Pelodiscus sinensis: one gene and its partners. The protein of the gene in region 3 purifies or fractionates together with the protein of the main gene of each other region. This does not show direct contact. Links are inferred from orthologs where the notes say so. Each region holds a gene or a part of one and is shown on either strand. Other genes may lie near its edges.

Region 1 (9,802 bases), on a different chromosome or scaffold from region 3:
GCTCCAGGACTAGGCTGATAAGAGGGCTGGTACTTACCCGCTGCAGAGCACTGGGGACGGTGCTACAGGACTAGGCTGATAAGAGGGGTGGTACTTACCCGCTGCAGAGCACTGGGGACGGTGCTCCAGGACTAGGCTGATAAGAGGGCTGGTACTTACCCGCTGCAGAGCACTGGGGACGGTGCTCCAGGACTAGGCTGATAAGAGGGGTGGTACTTACCCGCTGCAGAGCACTGGGGATGGTGCTACAGGACTAGGCTGATAAGAGGGGTGGTACTTACCCGCTGCAGAGCACTGGGGACGGTGCTCCAGGACTAGGCTGATAAGAGGGGTGGTACTTACCCGCTGCAGAGCACTGGGGACGGTGCTCCAGGACTAGGCTGATAAGAGGGCTGGTACTTACCCGCGAGGGATGTAAAATCTCGATAAATCAGTTAACCGGTTCAGGCCTGCGTTTACCTACCGTTGAACCGGTTAACTGGCTCAGTGGAATCCTGGGTAGGGGACTGCCCCAATCCGGATGGAGCAGCCCCATGCAGGGCTGGCTGCTGGATCCAGCGGCCAACTGAGTGGGGTGGGGGCCTAGAACACAGCAAGGTGCGGGCGGGGACTGCTCCCAGGTAACCCTTACTCCTCACATCCCTAACAGAAGCGGCAGCTTTAGCATCTTCATAACCAACCTGGCCCTGTTTCACAGGAGACAGGGAACTGGCGAAGCAGGACGTTTTCCTTGCTGTGGAGCCCGGATTCATAGACCCACCAGAATGGCCGTTCTCCAAACAAGAACCTGGGGGCAGAAAGAGGAGACAGAGCTGAGGTCTGAAAAGCAAAATGCTGAAGGCTCCTGGAAGCCACAGGAGCTTCAGGGGGCGCCAAGGGTGTCACGCGCGGGGGGCGCTGCAGGGAGTCGCGCGGAGGGGGCGCTGCGGGGAGTCGTGCGGGGGGGCGACAGGGGGCGCTGCGGGGAGTCGCGCGGGGGGGCGGCAGGGGGCGCTGCGGGGAGTCACGTGCGGGGCGGCAGGGGGCGCTACGGGGGGGGCGGCAGGGCGCGCTGCGGGGAGTCGCGTGGGGGGGGGGGGCGCTGCGGGGTGTCCCGCGGGGGGGCGGGGGGCGCTGCGGGGTGTCCCGCGGGGGGGCCCCCCCTCACCACTTGGCCAGCACGTTGAGCCACTCGGCCAGGCAGCCCAGCCAGAGCACCGCCCGCCCGACGCGCCGCTCCAGGCCGTAGGCCAGCGGGAAGAGGCCGCTGAAGACGCGCGCGGGGTCGGCCAGCGCGGTCAGGCCCAGCCACAGGCCCTCCAGGGGGGGCGGCCCGGCCTGCAGCGCCCCGGCCCAGCGCGCCCCGCCGCGGTACAGCGCCTCCATCGGCCCCCGGACCCGCCCTCCTGTCCCGGCCGCCTCGGCGGGATCCCGCCCCGCCCCCGAGTCCAGCGTCTGCCCCGGCACGCACCCCTCCGACCCCCCCGGCACGCACCCCCCTCCCACGGCACCCCCCCGCCCCCTCCGACCCTCCCCGGCACGCACCCCCCTCCCACGGCACCCCCCCGCCCCCTCCGACCCCCCCCGGCACGCACCCCCCTCCCACGGCACACCCCCGCCCCCTCCGACCCCCCCGGCACGCACCCCCCCGCCCCCTCTGACCCCCCCGGCAATCACCCCCCCACTGCCCCCTCTGACCCCCCCAGCACTCACTCTCCCCACCCCCTCTGACCCCCCTAGCTCTCACCCCCTCCTGCCCCCTGTAGCCCCCTCCAGCACTCACCCCCGCCCCTTGTAGCCCCCCCGGCATGCACCCCCCCACTGACCCCTCTGACCTCCCCTGGCACGCACCCCCCCCCACTCCCTCTGACCCTCCCCTGGCACTCACCCTCCCGGCCCCTGTAGCCCCCTCCGGCACTCACCCCCCCCCCCCCACTGCCCCCTGTAGCCCCCCCTGCACTCACCCCCCCGCCCCCTGTAGCCCCCCCTGGCACACACCCCCCCCCACTGCCCTCTGTAGCCCCCCCTGGCACGCACCCCCGCACACTGCTCCCTGTAATCCCCCCCGGCACTCACTGACCCCATCCGGCACTCACCCCCAGTGCCTCCTGTAACTCCCCAGTACCCACCCCCCCATGCCACCTGTTACCCTCCCAGTGCCTCCTGTATGTCCTCACTGCCACTTGTAGCCTTACCCGCACTGCCTCCTGTAGCCCCCATCCTCCACTGCCACCTTCCAGGCAGCCTTTCTCCTGCATTAAGAAGCAAAAAGGATCACACACCAGAGTTAAAACAAAGAAAGAAATGCTTGTAGGCTACCTTTAATTTATTCAGTGGTAATAAACAAATTTTCTTTTTGCTAAACTGCTGCTTACAAAGGGACAATGAAACCTTTTCTTTGTCCCTTTCGGAAAAAGTAAGGAAGATGCCTTGATGCTTCCTCAAGGGATGTTCATAAGAGAAAAACTTAAAAAACAAAATCTGGTCTGTAGCACTTTATAGACTAACAAAACATGTAGATGGTATCATGAGCCTTTGCAAAAAAGTTAGAAAATGAGTTTGGGATCCATCCTTTCATGGTGCAATTTGCTTCTCCAAGATTGCTGCAGCCTTGGCTACTTTGGAATGATGACATGCAAAGTGTTTCACCAGGGATAAGGAAACTGGAGGAGTTCACTATTTTATTCTGCGTCATAGCATCTTTTTAAGGATTGGAGCCACTGTATTTTTTGTTCAGGTGTGTTGGTTTTTGGTTGCTTGTAGGCTTGTCTGTTTGATTTTTGGTTTTTTGCACACATGCTACACTGCAAACTTTAGTGAAAAATAAGATCCACAACTGGTGCCAGGATCTCCTTGCAGGGACTGGGGCCTATATTTGTATCACACATGCATTCCGTATTGGGATGGGTTCCCAAACTTGGGGGCGTGAAGAAATTCCAGGGGGGTGTGAGGTGACCCAGCCCCCCCCCTTCAAGTCCTCTCCCCCTCCAGTTTTGCTGCTATTTTTGTTTTTCGGCCCGGGGCAGTTCCTTTTTTTTTTGCTTTTGCTGAACAAGATTTGCTGCTATTTTTTATTTGGAGGGGGTGAGGGTTTCTTAAAAATCAAAAAGGGGGTGTGATGCCCAAAAGTTTGGGAACCACTGGTAGACTGTATGGCTGCGTCAGACTGGCAAGATTGTGCGCAAATACTTTTAACGGAAAAGTTTTTCTGTTAAAAGTATTTGCGCAAGAGAGCGTCTAGACTGGCATGTGCCTTTGCGCAAAAGCATCCGTGCCAGTGTAGACGCTCTCTTGCGCAATAAGCTCTGCCGGCCATGTTAGCCATCGGGCTTTCTTACGCAAGAAATTAACGTTGCTGTCTACACTGGCCTCTTGCACAAGAGGGCTTATCCCTGGGCGGGAGAGTCGCAGTATTTGCGCAAGAAGCCCTGGTTTTGTACATTACAACGTCAGTGTTCTTGCGCAAATACTCGCGGCTAGTGTAGACAGGTGGCAAGAGTTTGCGCAAAGTCATACCAGTCTAGACACAGCCATCATTTTTCTGGGTTGGGGAACTGATTGTTGATGTGTCAGTAAAATGTTTGACTCATTTGCCACAGCAGAAAGGGTGGTGAATAATAAATATGAGCTTTATTTTCCTCGTTGTTTATTTGCATGAACCCACTTTGGGAATTACTTAATGCAGCATTCCTGTAAGGCAGCAATGAGGAACCTAGGCTAGTGAGTGGCCCTTCTTCGCCTCAGTGGGCCACAAGACTGTCATAACCAAGATAAAAGGAAAAACTATGTAGCACTTTCAAGACGAACAAGATGGTTTAATAGGTGATGAGCTTTTGTGGGCCAGACCCACTTCCTCAGATCATATTCTGGAAGAGAATTGGCATGACCATATATATCATAGCCACCAGCTAGGAGCACACAGAGCCACAACGGCGCCAAGGGGCACGCATAGACTCAACCTTGGGCACGCTGGAGCTTAGTGTAGGAATCACTACAGCTTGAGCTACAACCCAGCTGGCTCTCAGCTGAGGCTGTAGGGCTCCCCTTGCTCTTGTCTCTTGCTGTAGTGGTCTACAGTGGTGGCTTCTTGCGCAAGAACATCTTGCGCAAGAAGTCTTGCACAAGAACACGTCCACACTGCCATGTGTGAGCTGTCCTCTCTTCCCAGCCGTACTGTACATTTCCTTGTGCACGAGCTCCTGAGCAAGAGAGCTTACACCTGTTAGAAAAGGGCATCGCTCTTGTGCAAGAAGCCCTCTCTTCCCAGCCGTACCGTACATTTCCTTGTGCACCAGCTCCTGAGCAAGAGAGCTTACACCTGTTAGAAAAGAGCATCGCTCTTGTGCAAGAAGCCCTCTCTTCCCAGCCGTACCGTACATTTCCTTGTGCACCAGCTCCTGCGGAAGAGAGCATCGCTCTTGTGCAAGAAGCCCTCTCTTCCCAGCCGTACTGTACATTTCCTTGTGCACCAGCTCCTGCGGAAGAGAGCTTACACCTGTTAGAAAAGAGCATCGCTCTTGTGCAAGAAGCCCTCTCTTCCCAGCCGTACCGTACATTTCCTTGTGCACGAGCTCCTGAGCAAGAGAGCTTACACCTGTTAGAAAAGGGCATCGCTCTTGTGCAAGAAGCCCTCTCTTCCCAGCCGTACTGTACATTTCCTTGTGCACCAGCTCCTGCGGAAGAGAGCTTACACCTGTTAGAAAAGAGCATCGCTCTTGTGCAAGAAGCCCTCTCTTCCCAGCCGTACTGTACATTTCCTTGTGCACGAGCTCCTGAGCAAGAGAGCTTACACCTGTTAGAAAAGGGCATCGCTCTTGTGCAAGAAGCCCTCTCTTCCCAGCCGTACTGTACATTTCCTTGTGCACCAGCTCCTGCGGAAGAGAGCTTACACCTGTTAGAAAAGAGCATCGCTCTTGTGCAAGAAGCCCTCTCTTCCCAGCCGTACTGTACATTTCCTTGCGCACGAGCGGGCTGGCAGTGTGGACGCTGTGCGGGTTCGTGCAAGGACGGCCGTACTTGTGCAAGGAGCAGCGAGTGTAGCTATCGCCTAGGCGTGGGGGTGACACACCGGGCAGATCCCAATCCGTGCATGCAGCATAGTGCTGGAGATGCAGCCGAACGAAAGGCAGGACCAGGCAGCACTTTGCTAGGGGCGGGTCCGGCCCCGGAAGCTCATCCCCTAATAAACCGTCCGGGGAGCCTGTGAAGCGCTGCCCTGTCCTGCTGGCCACGCCCCTCCCTCCGCGTGTCCCCGCCCCGCCCTCTCTGCGGCCCCGCCCCCTTGCGCGATGACGCCAGACGCCGCGCGCGGGCCGACGTCCCGGCCTGGCCCCGCCCCCCGCCTGGCGTGGGGCTCCCTGGGGCTGAGCCGAGCCGCGGCCGCCGCTGCTGAGACAAGATGGCGGCCCCGGGCGAGTACTTCAGTGTGGGCAGCCAGGTGTCGTGCCGCACGTGCCAGGAGCAGCGGCTGCAGGGCGAGGTGGTGGCCTTCGACTACCCCAGCAAGATGCTGGCGCTCAGTATCCGCCGCGCGGGGGGTCCGGGGGGGGCGCTCAGTATCCGCCGCGCGGGGGGGCCTGTGGGCCCGGGGGGGGCGCTCAGTATCCGCCGCGCGGGGGGGCCTGTGGGCCCGGGGGGGGGGCGCTCAGTATCCGCCGCGCGGGGGGGCCTGTGGGCCCGGGGGGGGCGGCGCGGGACGGGGGGGGCGGCCTGTAGGCCGGGGGGGGCGGCGCTCAGTATCCGCCGGGCGGGGCGGGGGGGCCTGTGGGCCCGGGGGGGGGGCGGCGCTCAGTATCCGCCGCGCGGGGGGGCCTGTAGGCCGGGGGGGGCGGCGCTCAGTATCCGCGGGGCGGGGGGGGCGGCCTGTGGGCCCGGGGGGGGTGCGGGGGCGCGGCGCGGGACACGTGTGTGCGGGCGGGGGGGCGGGCCGGGGGCACTGGCCGTCGCGAGCCCCCGCTCAGTCTCGCTCCCACCTGCAGAGCCGCCGGGAGCGGGCCCCGCGCCTTTCCCCGCACGCCCGGGGGGCCTCGGCCGGCCGCTCCCCGCACCTGTGCCAGGCAGGGCCCGAGCGGGCCGCGGGAGCCCTGGAGAGGAAGAGGCGGCGCACGGAGGGTGCCTGGTGGGCCCAGGGCCTGGCTTCCCGGGGAAGGGTGCGCTCTGTACGCAGCTTTCCCCGTGTGCTCTCCTCCTCTTCCACCTTTCTCCCCTTTATGAGGGCCGTGCTCTTCCTGTGGTGGAGGGAGAGCTGATTGCTGGCGGCTTTTAAGCTGCAGACTGTTTCATTTCTATGGCTGAGGCCAGACTCCCTCTCCTCCTAGGAGTGGAGAAGCAGCGTGCAGAGCCATATGTCTAATGCAGTCTCCACACTCGTCTCTATATGTTCTTCTCTGCTTACTCTAGCAGACAGATGAAGGAGAGGAGGACTAACTATCCCTCTTCAGCAGGAACAGATTGCGCAGGAATTAATGTCAGTGCTATAAAGGTTTTTCTGGGGGTGGTAAGCTGGTGTCTAATTTACACGGTTCTGTCATTCTAGAAGTGACAAACTATCTCAAATGTATGTAAGGTTATGTTCTCTGAAGTGTGATTATGAATGGAAAAATCTCTTCTATGACTCTTTAGAGCTTGTCATCCATAGATGTAGGTGAAAGTATTAATAGAGTAACTTGTGTTCAGGTTGCATCTGCAGTAAGGGAATGTTATTTGGTCTAGAAACCCGGTGGCTGCGCTTAGACCGGCAAGTTTATCCAGAAAAACTTGCCAGCTGTCTACACTGGCGGCTTGAATTTCCGCAAGAGCACTGACGATCTCATGTAAGATTGTCAGTGTTCTTGCGGAAATACTATGCTGCTCCCGTTCGGTCAAAAGCCCTCTTGTGCAAATGCTTTTGCGCAAGAGGGCCAATGTAGACAACGCAGTATTGTTTTGCTCAAAAAAGCCCCTATCATGAAAATGGCGATCGGGGCTTTCTTGCACAAAACTGCGTATAGATAGGCACGGAGGCTTTTCCGAAAAAAGTGCTTTTGCGGAAAAGCGTCCATGCCAATCTAGACACTCTTTTTTAATGGGAAAACTTTTCCATTAAAAGCATTTGCGGAAAATCATGCCAGTCTAGACGTAGTCGGTGCGTGTTAAGGTTTCTCTCTATAGACAAGTAATTCTGGAGTATGGTTGGGTATGAAATTAAAGCTCAGTTGCTCGCCTGCAGTAGCTACCCATGTGTACATTTACTCCAGAAAGAGTGCCCCCACAGAGCTATTCTAGAGTAGTTTATTCGGCAGTGGCTTATTTTGCTCAATTTCTTCATGTTGAGAAACAAAGGATTAGTGACTGTTCTCTGTACTGATCAGCAAAACCTTGCCCCATGTCTGTTGAAAATCTTGCCCTTTCTATCTTCCTTGACTAGAATGGGGAAGGTTCTGTGTGCTCCTGAAAAGTACACTGCAGATCATGCAGCATCCGAGGTTGTCTAGTGTACTTACAACAGTTATTAGCAAAAACAGATTCAGTCCCATGGTCAGGAAACCCCTGCTGGCAGCAGCTGTGTTTAAATAATTGTTGCTAGCACTGTTTCTGCTTTTTACTGCTGACCAATCATTTCACTGTTATACACCTTAGTGCGGTGGAAGAACTTACCTGCTGAAAATCTAACTCCTCTGTTGATTTGTTCCCTAACCGGTATCATGTAGCCCTCCTTGCCAGTTTTCATTTCAGAGCTGTTAACTGTGTCCGCCTGGATTTGTTTTCCTTAATGCTATTTTCCTCCAGAATGTCCCTCTTCCAGTGGAAAGCCCAACCACGCAGATATCCTGCTCGTAAACTTACAGTATGTTTCAGAAGTGGAAATAATTAATGACCGCACGGAAACCCCTCCTCCTTTAGCTTCACTCAATGTTAGCAAGGTAAGGGCCCTTTATCCTTGTCTCTCCTTTTGTGTGCTCATGGATTTATGCTTGATTTAATTGACAGGAAGAGTAAATGCACTGTTACTTGTATTATGAATCAGTTGCATTTCTTACTGTTTAAATATCCTACTTTGCATGATATTTGGTTAGTTGACATGGCTTTTATCAATTTAAATCAGACTGGTCATGTGCATGGTGCTATTCTGGTTCTTCTTGTGCAGTGAAGCACTTAAACGTGCATTAAAGTTTCTATAAAAGGGCAGCCTGGGCATCTTTATACTTGGCAATTGTCATTAGGCTACAGTAGAAATTGTGGGAGGAATGGTCTTCCAAGGTGATTGGTCCATGGGCAGCTGAGCTCCTTGTTGTGCAGATGAAAATTTGAGAGTCTGGAATCTTGTGACCAGGCTTCATTAGGTGCTTCTGTTTTGCCAAAACATAGTACGGTGCATTCCTGGCTGAATGAAGCTAGAGGAGGAATCTATTGCCATCCAATTCTTCTGTTGGGTGTGGGTTACAAGGCACCTGACAAGACCAACTTTTCATAAGTCTTTTTTTTACCAGGCCTTTCTGGACAGTTGTCTGCCATGACTACCGTATATAGGTTCGTTTTGGGGCTTGTTTACACAGAAAATCCACCATGCTTTTGGATCTGATTTCAACATGGCCTTACCCTTGGAAACTGGCACTGTGGCTTAACGCTTGTGCTATGCTCTTGGCATTTCAAGTGCTGTGGGTGCAATTTGGGACCACTGCAAGACCCAGCTCTGTCAGGACTTTACTGTGTTGTGGTGGGTCTCAAAGGCTTATAAGATATGTGGACTTATGATCCAAAGACATCTACATTAGGACACCACCGTGGCAGTTCTGTACTAAACCCCTGTAACCCTTTACTGTGTAGACCCTTCCAGCTGTGCCGCTGTAGTGTAGACTCTTCCTATAGCAACAGAAGACGTGTTCTCATTGCTGTAGGAGACTGCCTTCCTGAACAACAGTAGCTATGATGACAACCATCCACTTAGCTGCATCTACACTGCATAGCTGTAGTGTTTGGGTGTGGATTTTTCACACCCTGAGTGCTTTAGCTATGTCAATCTAACTTTCAAGGTGTGGACCAGGCACAATGGCAGCTTTGAGTATTAAACTGTGTGAAGTGGCAGTGACAGAAGGCTTCCTACATTCACTATCTCATTGGCTGTCTGATGCATTACAATTCTGTTCCCACCTCCTCTTCTGCAGCTGCATAGATCCCTCTGCATCCTGCTAAAGCCCTGGTATCTCAGTGATAGGTAACACAGTGCTTTCCTGGCAACACAGCAGGAAGTGAAGAGTAACCTTCCTTTGTGTAACTGCAGTGGAAATTGGGGCAGGTGGATTATGATCACCTGAGCTGGCGTTTAGCCAGGACACCAGGGCTAACACAGTCCTTTTTGTATAAAGTGCAACAGTCTCTTCAGATACCACCAGTGGTCAGGCTGGGTAACTTGGCTGAAAAATACCTTGCTGTCTTCTTGCAGTGCTACTGCAGGGTTGTGCATTCATTGCTCACGGAGCATGCCATTAGTCGAGTCCCCTAACACTGCTATCTGCAGCACCCAGGGTTTCTTTGGGAGGGCTGTATTTGGCTACAGAATCACAGGTCAAAACACCTTGTATTTATATCTGCATCTCTATTAACAAAAATGGTCCATGGATATCTGCATTGACATCCACGGCTATCTGCAAATTTGCAGAGTTCTATGTGCTTGTTTCCCATTTTGGCAATGACACTGATGGATAGACTAGCTAGGTTAACACTTAAGCAGTCTCCCCACATTTGCTTTATTCAGTCTCCAAGCGATTGCCATACATTGGAGGCTTCCTGTTCTGGTGAGTACAGGCAGTCCCCAAGTTACGCGGATCCGACTTATGTCGGATCC
Region 2 (9,938 bases), on a different chromosome or scaffold from region 3:
TGGCTCCCCTCAACACCAGCTCCTGCTCCCCCCCCCCCCCCACTGCTGATTCTCTGACAGAGGCAACAAGGGGGATAGGAAGCAACTAGTCACATCATTAGTTGACTATCCAATAATCTTCTGCTTATCGGATAGTTGGCTAGTCACTTACATCCCTAGACACACCAATATTTTGTGACACAGACTACTAAAGCTAGCAAAATGCAGGACAATGTAGCACTTTAAAGACTAACAAGATGGTTTATTAGATGATGAGCTTTCGTGGGCCAGACCCACTTCCTCAGATCAAATAGTGGAAGAAAGTAGTCACAACCATATATACCAAAGGATACAATTTAAAAAAAAAGCTAGGGATGTAAAATTCCATTTAACTGATCAACTGGGCTGAAGTGCCCATGTCCACGGTGGGCTTTGCTGGGCTGGAGCAGCCTCCCGCGGTTAACCAGAGCCAGTAAGCATCACCTCTTAAACGTGATGCTTACCAGTTAAGCTTTCACATCCCTAACTAAAGCACAGTTCTTCATGCCCACAATTTCACCATCAGAACATCAACCAATAAAGTACTCCAGCTAGCACAACACCACCATTAAACACTGCAGTCTAGCTTTGGTGTCCAACAGCAGTACTCTGCTCTGGCTCTAAGGTCATGTGCACAGTGTGTGGACCACCTGCAACAGGGTTTTGAAGTGCACTTCACTCCATACCTGGTTCCAAGCCAGTTACAAGTGTAGGCTCCATAATGTGGTGGGGAATTGAAAGAGATGCTAGAATTGCTTGAATGCAGAAATGTTCTTCCCCACATTCACAGGATGGAAACAGAGTGATATTCTCCTCAAAGTACTATAAAAAGGTAGATTTACAAACCTAAAATACCAAAGGTGGTCATTATAACAGAGTTGAAACTCAATCCAGAAAACTGGTTCTCTCATGTATAATAGCATATCCTCAATCAGAATACAGAGGACTTCATCTCTCCACCTCAGAGGGACTGGTATTTTCAGTCTAAACATTATTGGATCACAAACTGCAGGAGTCATGAATGCTTCCCCTGCCCTACCTCTGCAATTTGCATTCGGTTAGATTATAAACATAGTCCTTAAACCCTTCTATAGTCTATTCCTTAGTCACTTCAACACCTGATTATCAATCTAGAAACCTGAGCTACTACAGGTGGTAGCCTACTTGGCCAGCAGCATATATTGCCATGGACATATGACACCAGTACTGCAGGATCTGTGCTGGCTGACTAGCTGTTACTTCCAAGTAAAATTAAAGCTAAATTTTAAGCTCCTAAAGGCTTTGGACCAGCACACTTAAAAAACAGCATGGGAGGGTGTGACAAAGCGGGGATTGTATTCACACCGTCATGTTGTATGTGATCTCTACTGTCCTGTGCTGCACTGTTGTAACTGGGTGTACGCGCACCTCAGTTTCCCAAGGCACTGCACCCGTGCCCGTGCCCAGCTGTGGATGGGAGTTTTGGGTGTGACTCTCACTGAGGGGGAGGGCTGCCCAGTCTGTCCCCAGCATGTACACAATAGCTCAGACTCTCTTTTAACCTGAGCCTAGGTGCAGGGTGCAACCAGATAACACCTTTTGCCAGGAAAGGGGACAAAGGAGGAGGCGGGGCTGCCTGCAGGCTGGGACCAGTTGCTGGGCGTGTGAGTGAGTCTAAGCTATTTTAGGATTCAAGGAGGGGGCCTAGGGCCCCTATCCCCAAGACAGATTTTACTAACTACGCCTGGTTCCTGTGCTAACAAGTCTGAGTTATGAGTTATCCCTGTGAACCAATAAACCTTCTGTTCTACCTGTTGGCAGGGCTATCCAAAAAAAGGCCTTAATTTTACAACTTTTATTAAGGCTACTGTTAAAAAAAAATGTATTTAGTACAGAAACTCTCCCAACCTGTGTATGCCAGGGTGTCATGCTTGGATTATCTACAAACAAAACTTCTGCTTAAGGGTTATATAATACATATAATATGTAATTAGCAGGGCTCAACAAATAATGTAATCTACTTGCCCGTGGCGAGCAGATTACACCCCGGAAGAGCCGGCGCAGAGCGATCTGCGCATGCGCAGAACCGCGCAGGGCTCACTGCCGCTTGGCGAGCCCTGGTAATCAGCAACAATAGAAATATAGGTGTGCAAGTTTAATAATACTGTTTGGATATCATGAAATGTTATACAAACATAACCTAGATGGTTGACTTTCATGGCACATTGCAAAGTTTATCTGTTTACTCAAACTTTCAGAGGTGTTGCAGGGAGCAGCCTGATGGGAGTTTATGGCAGTGGGGTAAAAGAGTTTTATGGGGAGCTACTGGTGGATAAACTTGCCTGAGCAGCTACTAAGGCAACACATGGTTAATAAGTACCATTGAAGTCAACAGTGTTATTTACATATCTAAGTTTTTGCAGGATTGCCGGCTCTTTAGTATCTGAATTGGCATTTTACAAGTTTCACCATAAATCTCTAACAATGTTTGTCTCTCCACAGCTCCATTCCCTAACCAAGTGGCTCTTTATTTTTGAAAAACTGAAAGCCACTGGGGGAAGAGAGTGTTCCTAACAAAGTTCAGGTATAATATAGTACAATGAAAGCAAGCAACAGACAATAGTTTATACCTTCAAGTCAGAGATGTGGTTCTTGACGTAAAATTCCATTATCCAATTAAGTAGTTAAATGTTATGTTAACCAATTAAGCCGGGGGCTGCGCCAACCAGAGCAGTTCCCCACCTGCAGCATAGTGGGCCTGGCCAGAGTGGCTCCCAGTAGCCGCCTGTGGTGCATCACAGATGTGAGGCCTCTCCCAGGCGCTGGTTAACCAGTAACAGGTAAGCATCACCCTTACTTATGCTTACTGTTGTTCACATCCTTACTCTTCAATATATTTAACACTCACAAAACACCCTGTAAATGGAGATAAGTACTGTGGGTTTGAAGACTTCTGAATGAATGAACAAATATTTCATCCATATAAATTATACTGGAGAAGCAGAACAAAAGAAAACTTGCTGGACGGACAAGAGATGACCTATCAGGAGAATTTTTACTATGAATATCCACACAATTTCTAAACCTAGATAGGGTGATCAGAGAGAACCTTTTTTAATCCACATAGGTATTGCATCTGATGTAATAAATAGGAGGTATACATACCCTCGGTCCCAATGTAACAAGAATCAAAATAGAGCTCCTGGAACAAACACAGAACACAGTAATAAAATTTTCCTCCCTTAGATGCAGTCCAAAAGGTACCATGTGGCCCTTGGAGAGTCAAATGCTGCTGAGAAACTGGTCCATCCACCACCTCCCTCACCTTTTGAGGTTACCTTTCCTGCTGCTCTCTAAATGAGCAAAGCAGAGACTCAGGAATGTGAAGATAAAGCGAGGCAGCTCTCTCAAACAGATCTCTTTGTAATGGAGTCTAGTGCTGTTGCCTAACTCCTAGCCTATTAGAAAGGCAGATAGCAAATGCAACCAAAGGTTCAAAGCCACACATGGGGCAAGGCTGAATAACCCCTGAGAGGGAAGAGGATGCTGACACAGGTGCTCTCTCCAGCCTCAGCGCCTGAGTTTTACTTTCTCAACCAGCCTCTATTTTCTTTCTTTTGCAGCCTAAACCAGGGGGCTTTTTAGGGTCGGAGGTCACTGACACACAAAAAACCAGTCAGGGACTGGACACAAGTGAGAAACAAAAAAATAACCCCCCCCCCTCAGCAGCACGGGCTCCCCACTGCTGGGGGCAACGCCGAGCCTTGGGAACGGGATGCAGAGAAGCCCCCACCCTGCCGTGTCTGCCAACGATACCCCTTGCCCGGGGGTGTGAGCTCCCTCGGGTTCGGAGACAGCCCGCCTTCCCCTCACCCCGGCCCCAGCCGAGCGCAGCCTGCCCCGCTCCGGGAGGCGGCCCGCGCCGGCCGGGCAGGGAGGGGGGAGGGTCCCCGCAGCCGTGCCCGCGGGGGGGGGGGGGGGGCAGCCCGATGCGGGGCCGCGCACATGCCGGGCGGCCCGTCCCGCACTCACCTAGGGCCGGGCTGGGTGCGCGGGGCAGGGCGCTCCCCGGGGCCTGGCGGCGTGTGCGCGGGGCGCGGCCTCTCCCGCGGGGTGCCTCTGGGGGGGCGGGCGCGGTCACTGCGCAGCCTGAGGAGAGGGGCGGCGGCGCGGGCTCCGGGCGCTTCGGCTTCGCGGCTCCCTTATTGTCTCCCCTCCCCCCCCTTTCCCGGCGCGCGCGCGCGCTCCCCCTCCCTTCCTCCCTCCCTTCTCCGCGCCCTGCGTTCCAGGGCAGGAACCCCCGTCACCGGGCTTCCACCAATCAACGGCGTCCGCGTTGTGACGTCGGCGGAGCGTTCACTTCCCGCCGAACCGCACGCGAGGGGGGTTGTACGGCAGCCACCCGCTTCCGCCCGCGTGACGCAGAGGGGCGGGTTGGCTGGCGCGCGCCTCCTCCTGCCCGTCCGCACTTGGCCGCAGGCGCGCGGCCCCCTAATGGCCCGGGAAGGGGCTTTGCTCTTTGCAGGGCAGCAGCACGAGCCACGAGCTGTGGGGATCGTTCCAACCCAATGAGCAGGAGCGACTAGGGAAAATGCCACGAGCTCCTGCAGGGATCGTTCCAGATAGTGGCACTGGACCAGGGGAGATGGGAACGGGCAAAACAATAGGCAGTGGGAGTGGGACAGGAGGTCTGTAGCTCGGGACTGGGGGAGGAATTTGCAGTCTTGTGGTCAAGGGAGCCCTGCTGGCTGTACTTGCAACCCACAAAAGGGCAGTATCTGTGTTTCAGAAGTAGCAATTCTTCGCCTAATTAAAAATATATATATATATTTTGCGAACTAGATTCAGCTTTGAAACCTGTGATGTATACGTAAAATTCCTTTTGGGAAAAAAGAGCCCAAGAAAAAAGGTCTTGTGGATGCAGAGCAAGGTAAATAGCAAGTCAGGATATGTTTATAAAATAATGTAAACCACAAAAACATAAAGAGAGGAACCAGGAAACAATATATCCCCTGGGGATAGGAAGCAATTGAACAAGAAGCAGCTAGCTATTTGTCAAGAACATAATGGCCTTGCATTTTACAGTTTACACTAGGCTTTTCTAACCTATCTATCACCACCAGAGTATTTAGTTGCCAAACACAAATTTATTCACAAATTATCCTTTTCTTTCTTCTACGTCTTGGTCCAGCCGCTGGTGCATAGACAAACTATTTTACCCCCATTAGCAATCTTTCCATTAGAGAATGTCTCAGTTATCAGAAAGGAAAAAATGGGAAATGAGCGATTTGGTGTCATGCTCTGAAAACATGCAGATTCATTCTGAGCTGTTGTGAGCAATTGCACGGTTAAAAGCTCTCACCCAAAAGCCGAATGGTCCTTGTCAGCTTGTAGCAAACCTCTCCCTGCACAGGAACTGTAGCTGCGTGGCAAAGTAGCCCAGGACACTCACCGATAGGTGGAACTGCTGGCCTGGGGCACACAGGCAAACTCCAGTCCCGCCCCCTAATCATCATCAGGGTCCATGTGAACCTTAAAGAGGCAGTACATCAATCGCATAACCAAACGCTTTTTATTTCCTATTGCAAATGTGGAAGTTAGTGTTCAGTGTGAAGATCCATATAAATTATTTTAAAAAGACTTTTAGAGTACTCCTATCAAAGTTGTACACACACTATTTCTAGCACAATGAAAATAGATAGCCTGGAGTATCATATCACTATTAAGAAATCCATTTATTGATTTTAGATGTATTGCTACTGCAGTGTTTGGCTGTCAAACCACAATAATAGGGCAATCGTATAATCTAGTCACTTAGATTTATTATTAAATTATTTATTAAAATATCTAAAATACAATAAAAATGAAGAACGAAATAGGACGCTGTCATCTGGATAGGCAAATCAGAGTATGAATCAGTTACTTCTGATCCCATCTGCATACAAAGGAATACAGGTACTTAGAAAGTTGATGGGGAAATTAAATTACATCAGTCCTGCAAATCTTTAAATTGAATCAAAACCAGTAAGAATTATATATATATATATATATATATATATATACACACACACACACATATATATATACATATATATATATACATCAACTTTTAAGTACTAACTTCCACTATCTTAAGAAGGGAAATATAGTTATTTTAAATAACCTTTTTCATAGATGGTGGTTTTTTAAACAAGAGTTGGCAGATTAGTGGAATAGAAAGGTTTGAGATGTCATCTTAACTTGATTTGTGTCTTCCTTGCATAGATGGTTTTGAAATCTGCTGGAATCTAGTTCTGGCCTATCTCTTTCTAGATAACAGGATGGTTTTCTCTTCTTCCTCTGTAATCTAAATAAAAGTAAATATAGATATGTGAACCTCCTTAGCTACCTGGTCTGGTCACCACTTGAAGGAGGATGCTTCCCTTGAGGAAGAGTGGTACTGCACAATGGAAGAATTCAAAATGGACTGAAAGTCCTCAGACTCTTGGGGGGTGGGGGAGGAGGAGAAGTAAAGACTTCTACTGGAATTACATAAAACTGCTCTATGTAATAATCATAGGTTTAAATTAGGAGTAAAATATCTCCTGGCTATGAGCAATGCCAAATGACTAGAAGTTTCAGCTTATAAGAGAAATCTAAATGAAATTTCAAGATAACAACTGGGATAATTCTGTAACCCTCAACCAGACCTCCAGGCAAAACTAAAACACTTAGGCTGTGTCTACATTGGCATGATTTTGCGCAAAAGCACCTGCTTTTGCACAAAAACATGCTGCCTGTCTACACTGATGGGGAGTTCTTGCGCAAGAACACTGACGTTCTAATATGTGAAATCAGTGCTTCTTGCACAAGAACTATGATGCTCCCGCTCAGGAATAATCCCTCTTGCGCAACTGTTCTTGCGCAAGAGGCCAGTGTAGATGGGCAACATGAATTTCTTCCACAAGAAAGTCCGATAGCTAAAATGGCCATCGGAGCTTTCTTGCGCAAGAGAGCGTCTACACTGGCACGGATGCTTTTGCACAAAAGCACATCTCTTGCGCAAAAGCACATGCCAGTGTAGACGCTCTCTTATGCAAATGCTTTAACGCAAAAACTCTTGCGTTAAAAGTATTTGCGCAAAATCTTGCCAATGTAGACATAGCCTTAGTCCGCGTCTACACAGCAGGCAGTTATTTCAAAATAATGTCGAAATACTGTCAAGCTGAAGGACTTCTTACTCCGACTCCTGTAATCCTCATTGTACAAAGAGTAAGAAAAGTCGGAGGAAGAGTGCTCTATTTCATGGACTTGTGTTGGTGGAATAGAGCACTTACAACTCTAACACCACGAGAGGCATAGGGGTTTAATGTTGGTGTAGTAAGGGTGTTGCAGCAACTCTGTAGATACTTCTTTATTCCCTCAGTTGTTGGCTGTCATTCTTGTCAATTTCACGCTGTCTACAGGAGCCCTGAAATTAACAACAAAGTGTGGTAGGCTTGTTGCTGTGAACCCAGCAGTGGTCCCCAACCTTTTGGGGCTGCTGGGCGCCCAGGAGCAGGGCCGCTCATGCGCCATGCGTCCTGCGTCCGGGGGCGGGGCCACACATGCGCCACGCGCCTGGGGACAGAGCCGCACCTGCACCATGTGTCCAGGGCAGGGGACATGCATGCGCCATGCGCCCGGGGCGCAAGAATGGCTTGGGCCGGTCCTGGTCACTTGGCGGGTGCACATAAATGCCCCGGTGGGTGCTATGGCGGGAACCACCACCCTAGCTCATAGCTCAGGCATTCCCTGGGGCTTTCTTTCGCTGCACTGCCCCTTTTAGGTTGGCGGAAGTGGTGAGGTTGTGCACCACTAAGAGAAGGAGCATAATGTGGACATGGAAAACAGCAGTAATTACTTGGTAGCTGTAAGTTGACCTAAGATAGGTCCATGTAAGTTTGTAAGGTAGACATGCCCTGAGGCTCCATGGCTGTGTCTAGACTGCATCCCTTTTCCGTAAAAGAGATGCAAATTAGACACATCGCAATTGCAAATGAAGCGGGGATTTAAATCCCCCCCGCTTCATTTGCATAAACATGGCTGCCACTTTTTTCCAGCTCGGATCTAAGGGGTCTTTCGGAAAAGGCTTTATTTTCTGAAAGATCCCCGTCTAGACTGGCGCTTTTTTCTGACAAAGCTCCAAGCCGGAAAAAAGCGGCAGCCATGTTTATGCAAATGAAGCGGGGGGGATTTAAATCCCCGCTTCATTTGCAATTGCGATGTGTCTAATTTGCATCTATTTTACGGAAAAGGGATGCAGTCTAGACACAGCCCCCATGTGTGTGGAGTGAGTGAATGGGGAGGCTCAGATGCTCTGTGCGTGTTGGTCTATGTGTGTGTAGCATTGATCAGGCTGAAGTCAGGCATGGAGTGGCAGGTCAGCCACTGTGTGGTGGCTAAGGTGGGAGCACAGGCTCTGTGTGGGTTAGTGATGGGGAAGGCTTGGTTGTGGTGTTGGGAATAGAGGAGTTCAGGGACCAGTGGGGCTTGTGAGCTATGCATGTTAAGGGTAGGTGGGAGCTGTGGGTGGCTCTTAGGAGCTGTTTGTGTTGCTGGTGGAGGGGGTCTCAGGAGCTGTGTGCATTGAGATGGGGAGGGGACTCAGGAGCTGTTCATGTTGAGGTGGAGAAGAGTTCAGGGGTTGTATATGTTAGGATGAGCGGAACTCAAGGGCAGGGGGCTCAGGAGCACTGTGTGTTGAGGTGGAGGGGGGTTCAGGAGCAGTGCGTGATGGGGTGAGGGGGCTCACAGACAGGAGGGTTCGGGGGGGACTCGGGGACGGGGGCGGTGCATGATGGGGTGGAATAGGCGTAGGGACTGGGGGGGCTCGGGAATGGGGGAGCAGTGCGTGATGGGGGCTGCGGGCAGGCGCTCAGGGACTGGGGGGGTGCGTGATGGGGTGGGGGGCTCAGGGACCAGGGGGCAGTGTGTGATGGGGTGGGGGGCTCAGGGACCGGGGGGGCAGTGTGTGATGGGGTGGGGGGCTCAGGGACCGGGGGGGCAGTGTGTGATGGGGTGGGGGGCTCAGGGTCCAGGGGGCAGTGTTTGATGGGGTGGGGGGCTCAGGGACCGGGGGGGCAGTGTGTGATGGGGTGGGGGGCTCAGGGACCAGGGGGCAGTGTGTGATGGGGTGGGGGGCTCAGGGACCGGGGGGGCAGTGTGTGATGGGGTGGGGGGCTCAGGGTCCAGGGGGCAGTGTTTGATGGGGTGGGGGGCTCAGGGACCGGGGGGGCAGTGTGTGATGGGGTGGGGGGCTCAGGGACCGGGGGGGGGCTCAGGGACCAGGGGGCAGTGCGTGATGGAGTGGGGGGCTCAGGGACCGGGGGGGCTCAGGGACCGGGGGGGGCAGTGCGTGATCGGGTGGGGGGGGGCTCGGGGCGGTGCGTGACGGGGTGGGGGGGGGCTCGGGGCGGGGGGCGGTGCGTGACGGGGGGGCGGGCGCTCAGGGACCGGGGGGGGGGCTCGGGGCGGTGCGTGACGGGGTGGGGGGGGCTCGGGGCGGGGGGCGGTGCGTGACGGGGGGGCGGGCGCTCAGGGACCGGGGGGGGGGGGCTCGGGGCGGTGCGTGACGGGGGCGGGCGCTCGGGGGCCGGGGCGAGGCGGGGCCCTGCCCCCACAGCGCTGCCCGCGGGCAGGCCGGGCCGAGCGCGGCTGTCAGGCCCCGGCCCCGCCTCGCTCGCCCTCTGAGCGGCCACGTCGCTGCCACGTCCCGGCGCAGGCGCCGCGGCTGCTTCCGGCGCGGGCGGCGGGTGCAGCCGGGAGCGGCCCGCACTCGCCAGCGCGGCGCGACCCCGGCCCGGGCCGCCATGAACTTCCTGCGGGGCGTCATGGGCGGCCAGAGCGCCGGGGCCCAGCCCTCGGGGGCCGACACGGTGAGTCGGGCCGGGCGGGGTTGGTCAGTGGCGCCCCCGCCCCCA
Region 3 (9,822 bases):
GGCCATGTTCTCAGGAAAGAGGAAGGGCCTGTCCAGCCACCCTGGCTGAGGCGGAAGAAAAGCAGCCCTTGATCAGGAAGTCAGTACCACAGACAGAGCTTGACAGCCTGGCTTGGCTGGGAGATCCTGTGACCAGTAGGAGGTTCCCCCTCCCCCCTTTAGAAAGAGCTTGAGGTACTTACTGGAGACTGGGGAGGCCCCTTCCCTGTGCTCTGCCCCCTGAAAACAAATCACAGAGAGTGCTGATTACAGAACTGCTATAGCCTCAGGCCCCACAGCCAGGCCCAGCCACTAGGCCGGGCTCACCAGGCCGATAGCCCGGACGAGAGATGTTAAATAGCGGCTAATTGATCTCATGAATTCTTATCAGTTACTTGACTATTCTATAGTCCCTGGGAGTGGGGCCAGCAGCCTGTGCACTCCGGCACCACTCCCAAGGAGCCCCCCGCCACTTCGCTGGTGCCAGGCAGGAACTGGTCTGTGAGGGGAGCCAGTATAAAAACCAGAGGCAGCAGGGTGCGGTGGCAGCAGCCCCTGTCCAGAGGAGGGGCTGAGCTTCCAGACCCAGCGCGAGCCAGAATTAAACTGGGCTGCCTGCCCACCCAGCTCCTAATACACTTTAAATGCAGAGCCGCAGCAGGGGTAGGTCCTGGATCTGTCACAATCCAGGACTGAGCCAGGCTGCTGGCCAGCCTGCTAAAAAAATGTACTGGCAAAGTGGGGGAGGAGGGAGGAATACACGTAATCAGTTAATCAACTACATTATTACATCCCAGGCCTGGACACCTGGGTCCTATCCCAGCTCTGGGTGGAAGTGGGGTCATGGAACTCAGATATGGGAGTTCAAGCCCAGATCTGGGTTGGAAGGAGCCTGGGAGCTTCTGGAAGGGGGGAAGGTTAGGAGCCTAGACACCTGGGATCTAGTCTGGCTCTGCTTGGGGAGTGGAGGGTAGGGGGCAGGGAGCCTATATGCCTGGGTTCTAGCTCATCTTTGGGAGGGGCAAGAGATGTAGGGTGGGCAAGGAGAGGGGACATGCTAGAAGCCTGGACACCAGGGTCCTGTCCCAGCTCAGGGTGGTGGCCAGAGAGAGTGGGAGGGGCTGCTGGGAGCCCATCCTGGCTCTGGAGAGGCAAGGGGGGAGGCCAGACACCTGAATTCCAGAGTGGGGGAGGTGGGGCTGGGAGACCAGAAGCCAGGGTTCATGGAGGGGGGATGTGTGTGTCCTGTCCGGGCTCTGTGGGGATGGGGGTGAGGGGCAACTAGGAGGCCAGATGCTTGGGTCCTAGAGTTTGGGAGGGACGACAGGGGCTGAAGGATGGGGTTGGGAGGCCAGACGCCTGGGTCCCATGGTGGGGTAAGGGCAGATGCTGGGTCCCATGGCTAGGGGGAAAGACACTGGGTTTCCATGGCTGGGGGGGAAGGGAGAGGGGCAGACACTGGGTTCCACAGCGGAGGGGAGGGGCGGATGCTGGCTTCCATGGCAGGAGGGAGGAGAGGGGGTGGATGCTGGGTCCCACGGCGGGGAAGGAGTGGATGCTGGGTTCTGTGGCTGGGGGGGGGAAGGGACGGGGCGGATGCTGGGTCCCACGGCGGGGGAGGAGTGGACTCTGGGTTACGTGGCTGGGGGGGGAAGGGGTAGGGGCGGACGCTGGGTCCCACGGCGGGGAAGGAGTAGATGCTGGGTCCCGTGCCTGGGGGGTAAAAGGGGGAGGAGCGGAGGCTGGATCCCACGGCAAGGGAGCAGTGGACACTGGGTTCCGTGGCTGGGGGGGAGGGGCGGACGCTGGGTCCCATGGCGGGGGAGGAATGGATACTGGGTTCCGTGGCTGGGTCCCACAGCGGGGGAGGAGTGGACTCTGGGTTCCGTGGCTGGGGCGGGAAGGGGGAGGGGCGGAGGCTGGGTCCCACGACGGGGGAGGAGTGGACACTGGGTTCCGTGGCTGGGGGGGAGGGAGGGAGAGGAGCGGAGGCTGGGTCCCACGGCAGGGAAAAGGCGGACACTGAGTTCCCAGGATGGGACACTGGGTACCGTGGCTGGGGGAGAAGGGGCGGACAGTGGGTCCCATGGCAGAGGAGGAGTGGACACTGGGTTCCGTGGCTGGGGGAGAAGGGGCGGACAGTGGGTCCCATGGCAGAGGAGGAGTGGACACTGGGTTCCGTGGCTGGGGGGGAAGGGGGAGGGGCGGAGGCTGGGTCCCACGGCGGGGGAGGAGTGGACACTGGGTTCCGTGGCTGGGGGGGAAGGGGGAGGGGCGGAGGCTGGGTCCCACGGCAGGAGAGGAGCTGACGCTGGGTTCCGTGGCTGGGGGGAAGGGGGAGGGGCGGAGGCTGGGTCCCATGGCGGGGGAGGAGCTGACACTGGGTTCCGTGGCTGGGGGGAGGGGCGGACGCTGGGTCCCACGGCAGGAGAGGAGCTGACACTGGGTTCCGTGGCTGGGGGGGAAAGGGGGAGGGGCGGAGGCTGGGTCCCACGGCGGGGGAGGAGCTGACACTGGGTTCCGTGGCGGGGGGGGAGGGGCGGAGGCTGGGTCCCACGGCGGGGGAGGAGCTGACACTGGGTTCCGTGGCTGGGGGGGGAAGGGGGAGGGGCGGAGGCTGGGTCCCACGGCGGGGGAGGAGCTGACACTGGGTTCCGTGGCGGGGGGGAGGGGCGGACGCTGGGTCCCACGGCAGGAGAGGAGCTGACACTGGGTTCCGTGGCTGGGAGGGGAAGGGGGAGGGGCGGAGGCTGGGTCCCACGGCGGGGGAGGAGCTGACACTGGGTTCTGTGGCTGGGGGGGAAGGGGGAGGGGCGGAGGCTGGGCCCCACGGCGGGGGAGGAGCTGACACTGGGTTCCGTGGCTGGGGGGGAAGGGGGAGGGGCGGAGGCTGGGTCCCACGGCGGGGGAGGAGCTGACACTGGGTTCCGTGGCTGGGGGGGAAGGGGGAGGGACGGAGGCTGGGTCCCACGGCGGGGGAGGAGCTGACACTGGGTTCCGTGGCGGGGGGGAGGGGCGGACGCTGGGTCCCACGGCGGGGGAGGAGCTGACACTGGGTTCCGTGGCTGGGGGGGAAAGGGGGAGGGGCGGAGGCTGGGTCCCACGGCGGGGGAGGAGCTGACACTGGGTTCCGTGGCGGGGGGGAGGGGCGGACGCTGGGTCCCACGGCGGGGGAGGAGCTGACACTGGGTTCCGTGGCTGGGGGGGGAAGGGGGAGGGGCGGAGGCTGGGTCCCACGGCGGGGGAGGAGCTGACACTGGGTTCCGTGGCGGGGGGGGAGGGGCGGAGGCTGGGTCCCACGGCGGGGGAGGAGCTGACACTGGGTTCCGTGGCTGGGGGGGGGAAGGGGGAGGGGCGGAGGCTGGGTCCCACGGCGGGGGAGGAGCTGACACTGGGTTCCGTGGCGGGGGGGAGGGGCGGACGCTGGGTCCCACGGCAGGAGAGGAGCTGACACTGGGTTCCGTGGCTGGGAGGGGAAGGGGGAGGGGCGGAGGCTGGGTCCCACGGCAGGGGAGGAGCTGACACTGGGTTCCGTGGCTGGGAGGGGAAGGGGGAGGGGCGGAGGCTGGGTCCCACGGCGGGGGAGGAGCTGACAGTGGGTTCCGTGGCTGGGGGGGGAAGGGGGAGGGGCGGAGGCTGGGTCCCACGGCGGGGGAGGAGCTGACATTGGGTTCCGTGGCTGGGGGGGAAGGGGGAGGGGCGGAGGCTGGGTCCCACGGCGGGGGAGGAGCTGACACTGGGTTCCGTGGCTGGGGGGAAGGGGGAGGGGCGGAGGCTGGGTCCCACGGCGGGGGAGGAGCTGACACTGGGTTCCGTGGCTGGGGGGGAAGGGGGAGGGGCGGAGGCTGGGTCCCACGGCGGGGGAGGAGCTGACACTGGGTTCCGTGGCTGGGGGGGAAGGGGGAGGGGCGGAGGCTGGGCCCCACGGCGGGGGAGGAGCTGACACTGGGTTCCGTGGCTGGGGGGGAAGGGGGAGGGGCGGAGGCTGGGTCCCACGGCGGGGGAGGAGCTGACACTGGGTTCCGTGGCTGGGGGGGAAGGGGGAGGGGCGGTGGCTGGGTCCCATGGCGGGGGAGGAGCTGACACTGGGTTCCGTGGCTGGGGGGGAAGGGGGAGGGGCGGAGGCTGGGTCCCACGGCGGGGGAGGAGCTGACACTGGGTTCCGTGGCGGGGGGGAGGGGCGGACGCTGGGTCCCACGGCGGGGGAGGGGCCGGGGTCTCGCTCTCGCGCGCCGCTGGGCGGGGATTGGCTGTACAAACGACCAATCAGCGCCGCGCTCGCGCTGTTAGAGCCCCCCCCCCCCCGCGACGCGCGCGCAGTGACGGGACCCTCGCTCCCTCCCAGCCCCCCCGCCGCGCACGAGGGCCCCGGCCCCGCCCCGCCGTTACCTGGTGCCGCCGCCTCCCCCGGTCGGGGCCGCGGCCCGGGCCGGCCCGGCGCTGGGGCTCAGGCTGCCGTTGGGGCTGGGGGCGCCGGGTGGCGGCGCCTTGCGGGCGGGCGGGGGCCCGGCCTGGGGCCCGGGGCCGCCCGGGGGGGGCTGCGGGGGCAGCGGCTGCGGCTGCTTCAACATGGCGGCGCCGGCGCGGCCCCGGAGGAGTCCGGCGGGCGGGCGCGCGCGCGCGAGGCGGCTCGAGCGGCGGCGCGAGGCGGCGGCGGTTGGCGCGCGGGGCGGGGGGAGGGGCGCCGGCGGCCGGGCTGGAGCGCGCTGCGGCCTGGCTCCTTCCGCACAATGAGCCTGGCTGAGCCGAGAGCAGAAGGGCAGCGCGGCGGGGAAGCCAGCTCACTGCGCCTGCGCCGACGGCACCGCCAGCCGGGCACCTCCGCACCGCGGTGATCAGTCGAACCACGTGATGACACGAGTGGAGAACTTTTTGAGATTCTTCCGCCGGGTAAGAAGACCGTTGGTGGGCGTTGCGCATGCGTGGGAAGACGAAGCGTCCGAGGCGCTACGCGTTGGAGGGAACCTTCAGGCTGCTTTCTACTGCGCATGCGTAGAGCTGCACTCCCTCTGCGCGTGCGCCCCCCCCACCGAGCGTGTTATCCGCCGCACGCTAGCTGACCCTCGCTGCGCATGCGCGTCCTTGAGAGGGAACTTGCCGGAGGCGGGGAGGGGCAGAGAAAACTTAAAGCGCAAGCGCATCGGAATCCCTCCGCCAGGGGCGCCTTATAGAGTGGACAAAAATGAGTCCCGGCTCTTGCCCTGCGCAGCCTCAGCCCCCACCGTGACGTGTACACACCCTGTCCCCAGGGAGGGGACAGAGCTGGAGAGGAAGCAGGAGGGGGCGGAGCCGGGGAGGGGGCGGAGGAGGGAGGAAGCAGGAGGGGGCGGAGCCGGGGAGGGGGAAGATGAGGGAGGAAGCAGGAGGGGGTGGAGCCAGGGGGGGTGGAGGAGGGAGGAAGCAGGAGGGGTGGAGTTGGAGAGGAGGCAGATGAAGGAGGAAGCAGGAGGGGGTGGAGCCGGGGAGGGAGCAGATGAGGGAGGAAGCAGGTGGGGTGGAGCCGGGGAGGGGGCAGAGGAGGGGGGAAGCAGGAGGGGGTGGAATCGGGGAGGGGGCAGAGGAGGGTGGAAGCAGGAGGGGGTGGAGTTGGGGAGGGGGCGGAGGAGGGAGGAAGCAGGAGGGGGGTGGAGCCGGGGAGGGGGAAGATGAGGGAGGAAGCAGGAGGGGGTGGAGCCGGGGAGGGAGCAGAGGAGGGAGGAAGCAGGAGGGGGTGGAGCCGGGGAGGGGGAAGATGAGGGAGGAAGCAGGAGGGGGTGGAGCCGGGAAGGGGGCGGAGAAGGGAGGAAGCAGGAGGGGGTGGAGCCGGGGGGGGTGGAGGAGGGAGGAAGCAGGAGGGGGTGGAGCCGGAGAGGGGGCGGAGGAGGGAGGAATCAGGAGGGGGGTGGAGCCGGAGAGGGGGAAGATGAGGGAGGAAGCAGGAGGGGGTGGAGCCGGGGAGGGGGCGGAGGAGGGAGGAAGCAGGAGGGGGTGGAGCCGGGGAGGGGGAAGATGAGGGAGGAAGCAGGAGGGGGTGGAGCCGGGGAGGGGGCGGAGGAGGGAGGAAGCAGGAGGGGGCGGAGCCGGGGAGGGGGCGGAGGAGGGAGGAAGCAGGAGGGCGTGAAGCCGGGGAGGGGGCGGAGGAGGGAGGAAGCAGGAGGGCGTGGAGCCAGGGAGGGGGCGGAGGAGGGAGGAAGCAGGAGGGGTGGAGCCAGGGAGGGAGGAAGCAGGAGGGGGTGGAGCTGGAGAGGGGGCGGAGGAGGGAGGAAGCAGGAGGGCGTGGGGACGGGGCGGAGGAGGGAGGAAGCAGGAGGGGGTGGAGCCGGGGAGGGAGCAGAGGAGGGAGGAAGCAGGAGGGGGCGGAGCCGGGGAGGGGGCAGAGGAGGGAGGAAGCAGGAGGGGGTGGAGCCGAGGAGGGGGGAAGCAGGAGGGGGTGGAGCCGGGGAGGGGGCAGAGGAGGGGGGAAGCAGGAGGGGGTGGAGCCGAGGAGGGGGGAAGCAGGAGGGGGTGGAGCCGGGGAGGGGGCAGAGGAGGGAGGAAGCAGGAGGGGGCGGAGCCGGGGAGGGGGAACAGGAGGGAGGAAGCAGGAGGGGGCGGAGCCGGGGAGGGGGAAGATGAGGGAGTAATCAGGAGGGGGATGGAGCTGGGGAGGGGGCGGAGGAGGGAGGAAGCAGGAGGGGGTGGAGCCGGAGAGGGGGCGGAGGAGGGAGGAAGCAGGAGGGCGTGGAGCCGGGGAGGGGGCGGAGGAGGGAGGAAGCAGGAGGGGTGGAGTTGGAGAGGAGGCAGATGAAGGAGGAAGCAGGAGGGGGTGGAGCCGGGGAGGGAGCAGATGAGGGAGGAAGCAGGTGGGGTGGAGCCGGGGAGGGGGCAGAGGAGGGGGGAAGCAGGAGGGGGCGGAGCCGGGGAGGGGGCAGATGAGGGAGGAAGCAGGTGGGGTGGAGCCGGGGAGGGGGCAGAGGAGGGGGGAAGCAGGAGGGGGTGGAGCCGGAGAGGGGGCAGAGGAGGGGGGAAGCAGGAGAGGGTGGGAAGCAGGAGGGGGTGGAGCCGGGGAGGGGGCGGAGGAGGGAGGAAGCAGGAGGGGGTGGAGCCGGGGAGGGGGCAGAGGAGGGGGGAAGCAGGAGTGGGTGGAGCCGGGGAGGGGGCAGAGGAGGGGGGAAGCAGGAGGGGGTGGAATCGGGGAGGGGGCAGAGGAGGGTGGAAGCAGGAGGGGGTGGAGTTGGGGAGGGGGCAGAGGAGGGAGGAAGCAGGAGGGGGTGGAGTTGGGGAGGGGCAGATGAGGGAGGAACTGGAGGGGTGGAGCTGGGGAGGGGGCAGAGGAGAAGAGGTAGAGCGGATTGAGATGGTGGCAGATTCAATTGTCTGGTCTGACCTCTGTGTCCCAGTGTATAGGCAGCCTTGAGTTAATGGCTATTTGAACTAGATCAGATCTTTAAGGAACAAATCCAATCTTGATTTTAAACAGTCAGTGGAGGAGAATCCACCACAATCCTTGGGAAATTATCCCAGTCATTAATTACCCTCCTTGTTAACATTTCACGTCCTGTTTCTAGGTATATCTATTCTGCCCGAATTGCTTCACTGAAAGTGTAGCTGCTGATCAAAAAGCCCTAAAAGAAAGGTGGTGTTTCATGTTCCCATTGTCCTCTGTCTGCAGAGCACTTCCACACTTGGGGCAGCAGCATGAACAGAGAGCACTGCAGTGTGGGTAGCTCTCCACCTTCACTGTTAGCTCTTGTGGGAAGGCAGAGCGGATGGCGTCATGGGTCTGGACTCTATGGTCCCGGCATGCTAAGCATTTTTCTAAATCCCTTGTTTTCTGCTCCCCTTGCCATCGCTGTGTACAAGAGAGGATCCCACCCGGCTCTCCCGTATTAGCATAACTGTCAGCAGCACGGCACTGAACAGCCCTGTAGCTAATGGTGAAGTTTCAAACCTCATGGGATTCACTGTTGCCTGAGGCATCGTCTGAGTTTGGCAGAAGCGGCATTTGATCACTTTGGGCATTCAGGGAACAGTTGCGCACCATGGAGCACGTCACTTTTGGCTCAGGTGGGTCACGTTGTTATGTATGTTTTCAGCTGCAGAACTTTTGGATGAGGAAAGACACCTTCAAATCATAGGGCTGGAAGAGACCTCAGGAGATCATCAAGTCCATTCTGAGGTCTCTTCCAGCCCTATGATTCTATGATTCCAGCCCCCTGCCCAAAGCAGGACCAATCCCAACTAAATCAACCCAGCCAGGGCTTTGTCAAGCTGGGGCTTAACCTCTAGGGATGGAGATGCCACCACCTCCCTAGGGAACCCATTCCAGTGCTTCACCACCGTCCTAGGGAAATAGTTTTCCCTAATATCCAACCTAGACCACCCGCACTGTAATCTTCTGGGAAATGTGCTGAGCTCACCCCAGCCCAGCAGCACAGGGACACCTAAGTCATGGAACTGGAAGGACCCTGGAGAGGTCTTCAAATCTAGTCCCCTGCAGGCAGGACCAAGCACCATGTAGAGCATCTCTGACAGGTGCTTGTCTAATGATAGCGATTCCATAATCTCCCTAGGCAATTTATTCCAGCACTTAAGCACCTTGACGGGAAACTTTTCCTAATGTCCCCCATAAATCTCCTTCTCTGAAATTTAAGCCAGTTGCTTCTTGTCCTATGATCAGAGGTGTAGGAGAATACATTTTCTCCCTCCTTTGTCTAACAACTTCTTAGGTACTTGAAAGCTACTATCATGCCCCCTCTCAGATTTCTCTTTTCCGGACTAAACAAATCCATTTCTTTCAGTCTTCCAGAATAGGTCAGGTTTTGCAGACCTTTAATCACTTTTGGTGCTCTTCTTTTGCCTTTTCCCAATGTTTGCACATCTTTCCTGAAATATGGTGCCTGGAACCGGACACGGTACTCCCAACTGAGGCCTAATCAGCATGGAGTAGAGCAGAAGAATGACTTCTCATGTCTTGCTGACAGCACTCATATTAATGTATCCCAGAGTGATGTCTGCTTATTTTTGCAGCCATGTCACACTATTGACGAGAGATGTAAAAAGTGGGTTAAACAGGTAACCGTGCAACCGCTGAAAGTGCCACAGGGAGAACAGGGACTGTCTTGCTGGCCCCCTGCTTCCTGCAGCTCTCTTGTACATTTCAAAGGCTGAAGTGGGAACACAGGGTCAGTGGGGACAGCTTGAGGGCCCACTGGTCTTGCTCTCCCTGCTGCGCCCTTCCCTATGAGAGGCAGCAAGGGGGCAGATAGGGCAGGCTGCTGCAAAGCAGCCCCTATCCATAGAGGTCCCAGCAGGGAGCTGGACACCCCGTGGACTGGGGCTGTTGCTGCCAAGCAGCCCCTGTTTGCAGCAACCAGGGCTGGCCGCAGGCAGAGGTTTGCAGCGGACAGGGCTGTCCATCATGAACAGGGGCTGCTGGACTCAGTGCAAGCTGGGGCCAACCAGTCCTGGCTTGTGCTGATCTCTCCGCCTTTGCATTTTAAATGTAGTAGGAGCCCAGCAGCTCTTACTACATTTAAAATGCAGAGCCGCAGTGCAGGTGGCTCCTGGAGTTGATACAAATTGTATCAACTATACGATTAGCCTGATAACCGCATTTGAACATCCTTAGTTGGGCCCTCTGGGCTCTAGTGCACAGGGGACTGTGGGGAACATCTTTCTGCTTCCCAGTGGGTGGCCACGTCAATGAGGGGGTTTTCCCCTAACTTGTGTGCAGCCCTTGACTGCTTTTTTTCTGAGGGTCAGTGGCCACCAACCCAAAAAAGGTTCCCCGCCCCGATCTGGATTGTGAGTAGGGATGTTAGATGTAGTGTAACTGTGGTTACACGACTATTCGATAGTCCCTGTGGGTGGGGCCAGCAGCCT

Evidence for each region.
Region 1: the proteins of ATXN2L (region 3) and LSM12 purify together in Homo sapiens (affinity purification with mass spectrometry; 4 studies listed by BioGRID and IntAct, with this or other methods). This does not show direct contact. The link is inferred for Pelodiscus sinensis from reciprocal best matches to the Homo sapiens genes ATXN2L and LSM12.
Region 2: the proteins of ATXN2L (region 3) and G3BP2 purify together in Homo sapiens (affinity purification with mass spectrometry; 4 studies listed by BioGRID and IntAct, counting the BioPlex papers as one, with this or other methods). This does not show direct contact. The link is inferred for Pelodiscus sinensis from reciprocal best matches to the Homo sapiens genes ATXN2L and G3BP2.

The regions. Positions count from the first base shown.
Region 1 is NW_027466028.1:356,362-366,163, reverse strand, and holds the start of LSM12 (protein LSM12), read left to right. Parts: upstream 1-5,291; 5' UTR 5,292-5,377; coding exon 5,378-5,498; intron 5,499-7,746; coding exon 7,747-7,880; intron 7,881-9,802. Other genes in the region: G6PC3 (glucose-6-phosphatase 3), read right to left, coding at 681-787, 2,175-2,231, 4,352-4,887. UniProt on the Homo sapiens protein: Nicotinic acid adenine dinucleotide phosphate (NAADP) binding protein. Confers NAADP sensitivity to the two pore channel complex (TPCs) by acting as TPC accessory protein necessary for NAADP-evoked Ca(2+) release.
Region 2 is NC_134715.1:5,421,950-5,431,887, reverse strand, and holds the start of G3BP2 (ras GTPase-activating protein-binding protein 2), read right to left. Parts: upstream 4,265-9,938; 5' UTR 4,030-4,264; intron 3,200-4,029; exon of another isoform or gene 3,163-3,199; intron 1-3,162. Other genes in the region: USO1 (general vesicular transport factor p115), read left to right, coding at 9,828-9,893.
Region 3 is NW_027465989.1:89,588-99,409, reverse strand, and holds the start of ATXN2L (ataxin-2-like protein), read right to left. Parts: upstream 4,692-9,822; 5' UTR 4,551-4,691; coding exon 4,369-4,550; intron 220-4,368; coding exon 183-219; intron 1-182. UniProt on the Homo sapiens protein: Involved in the regulation of stress granule and P-body formation.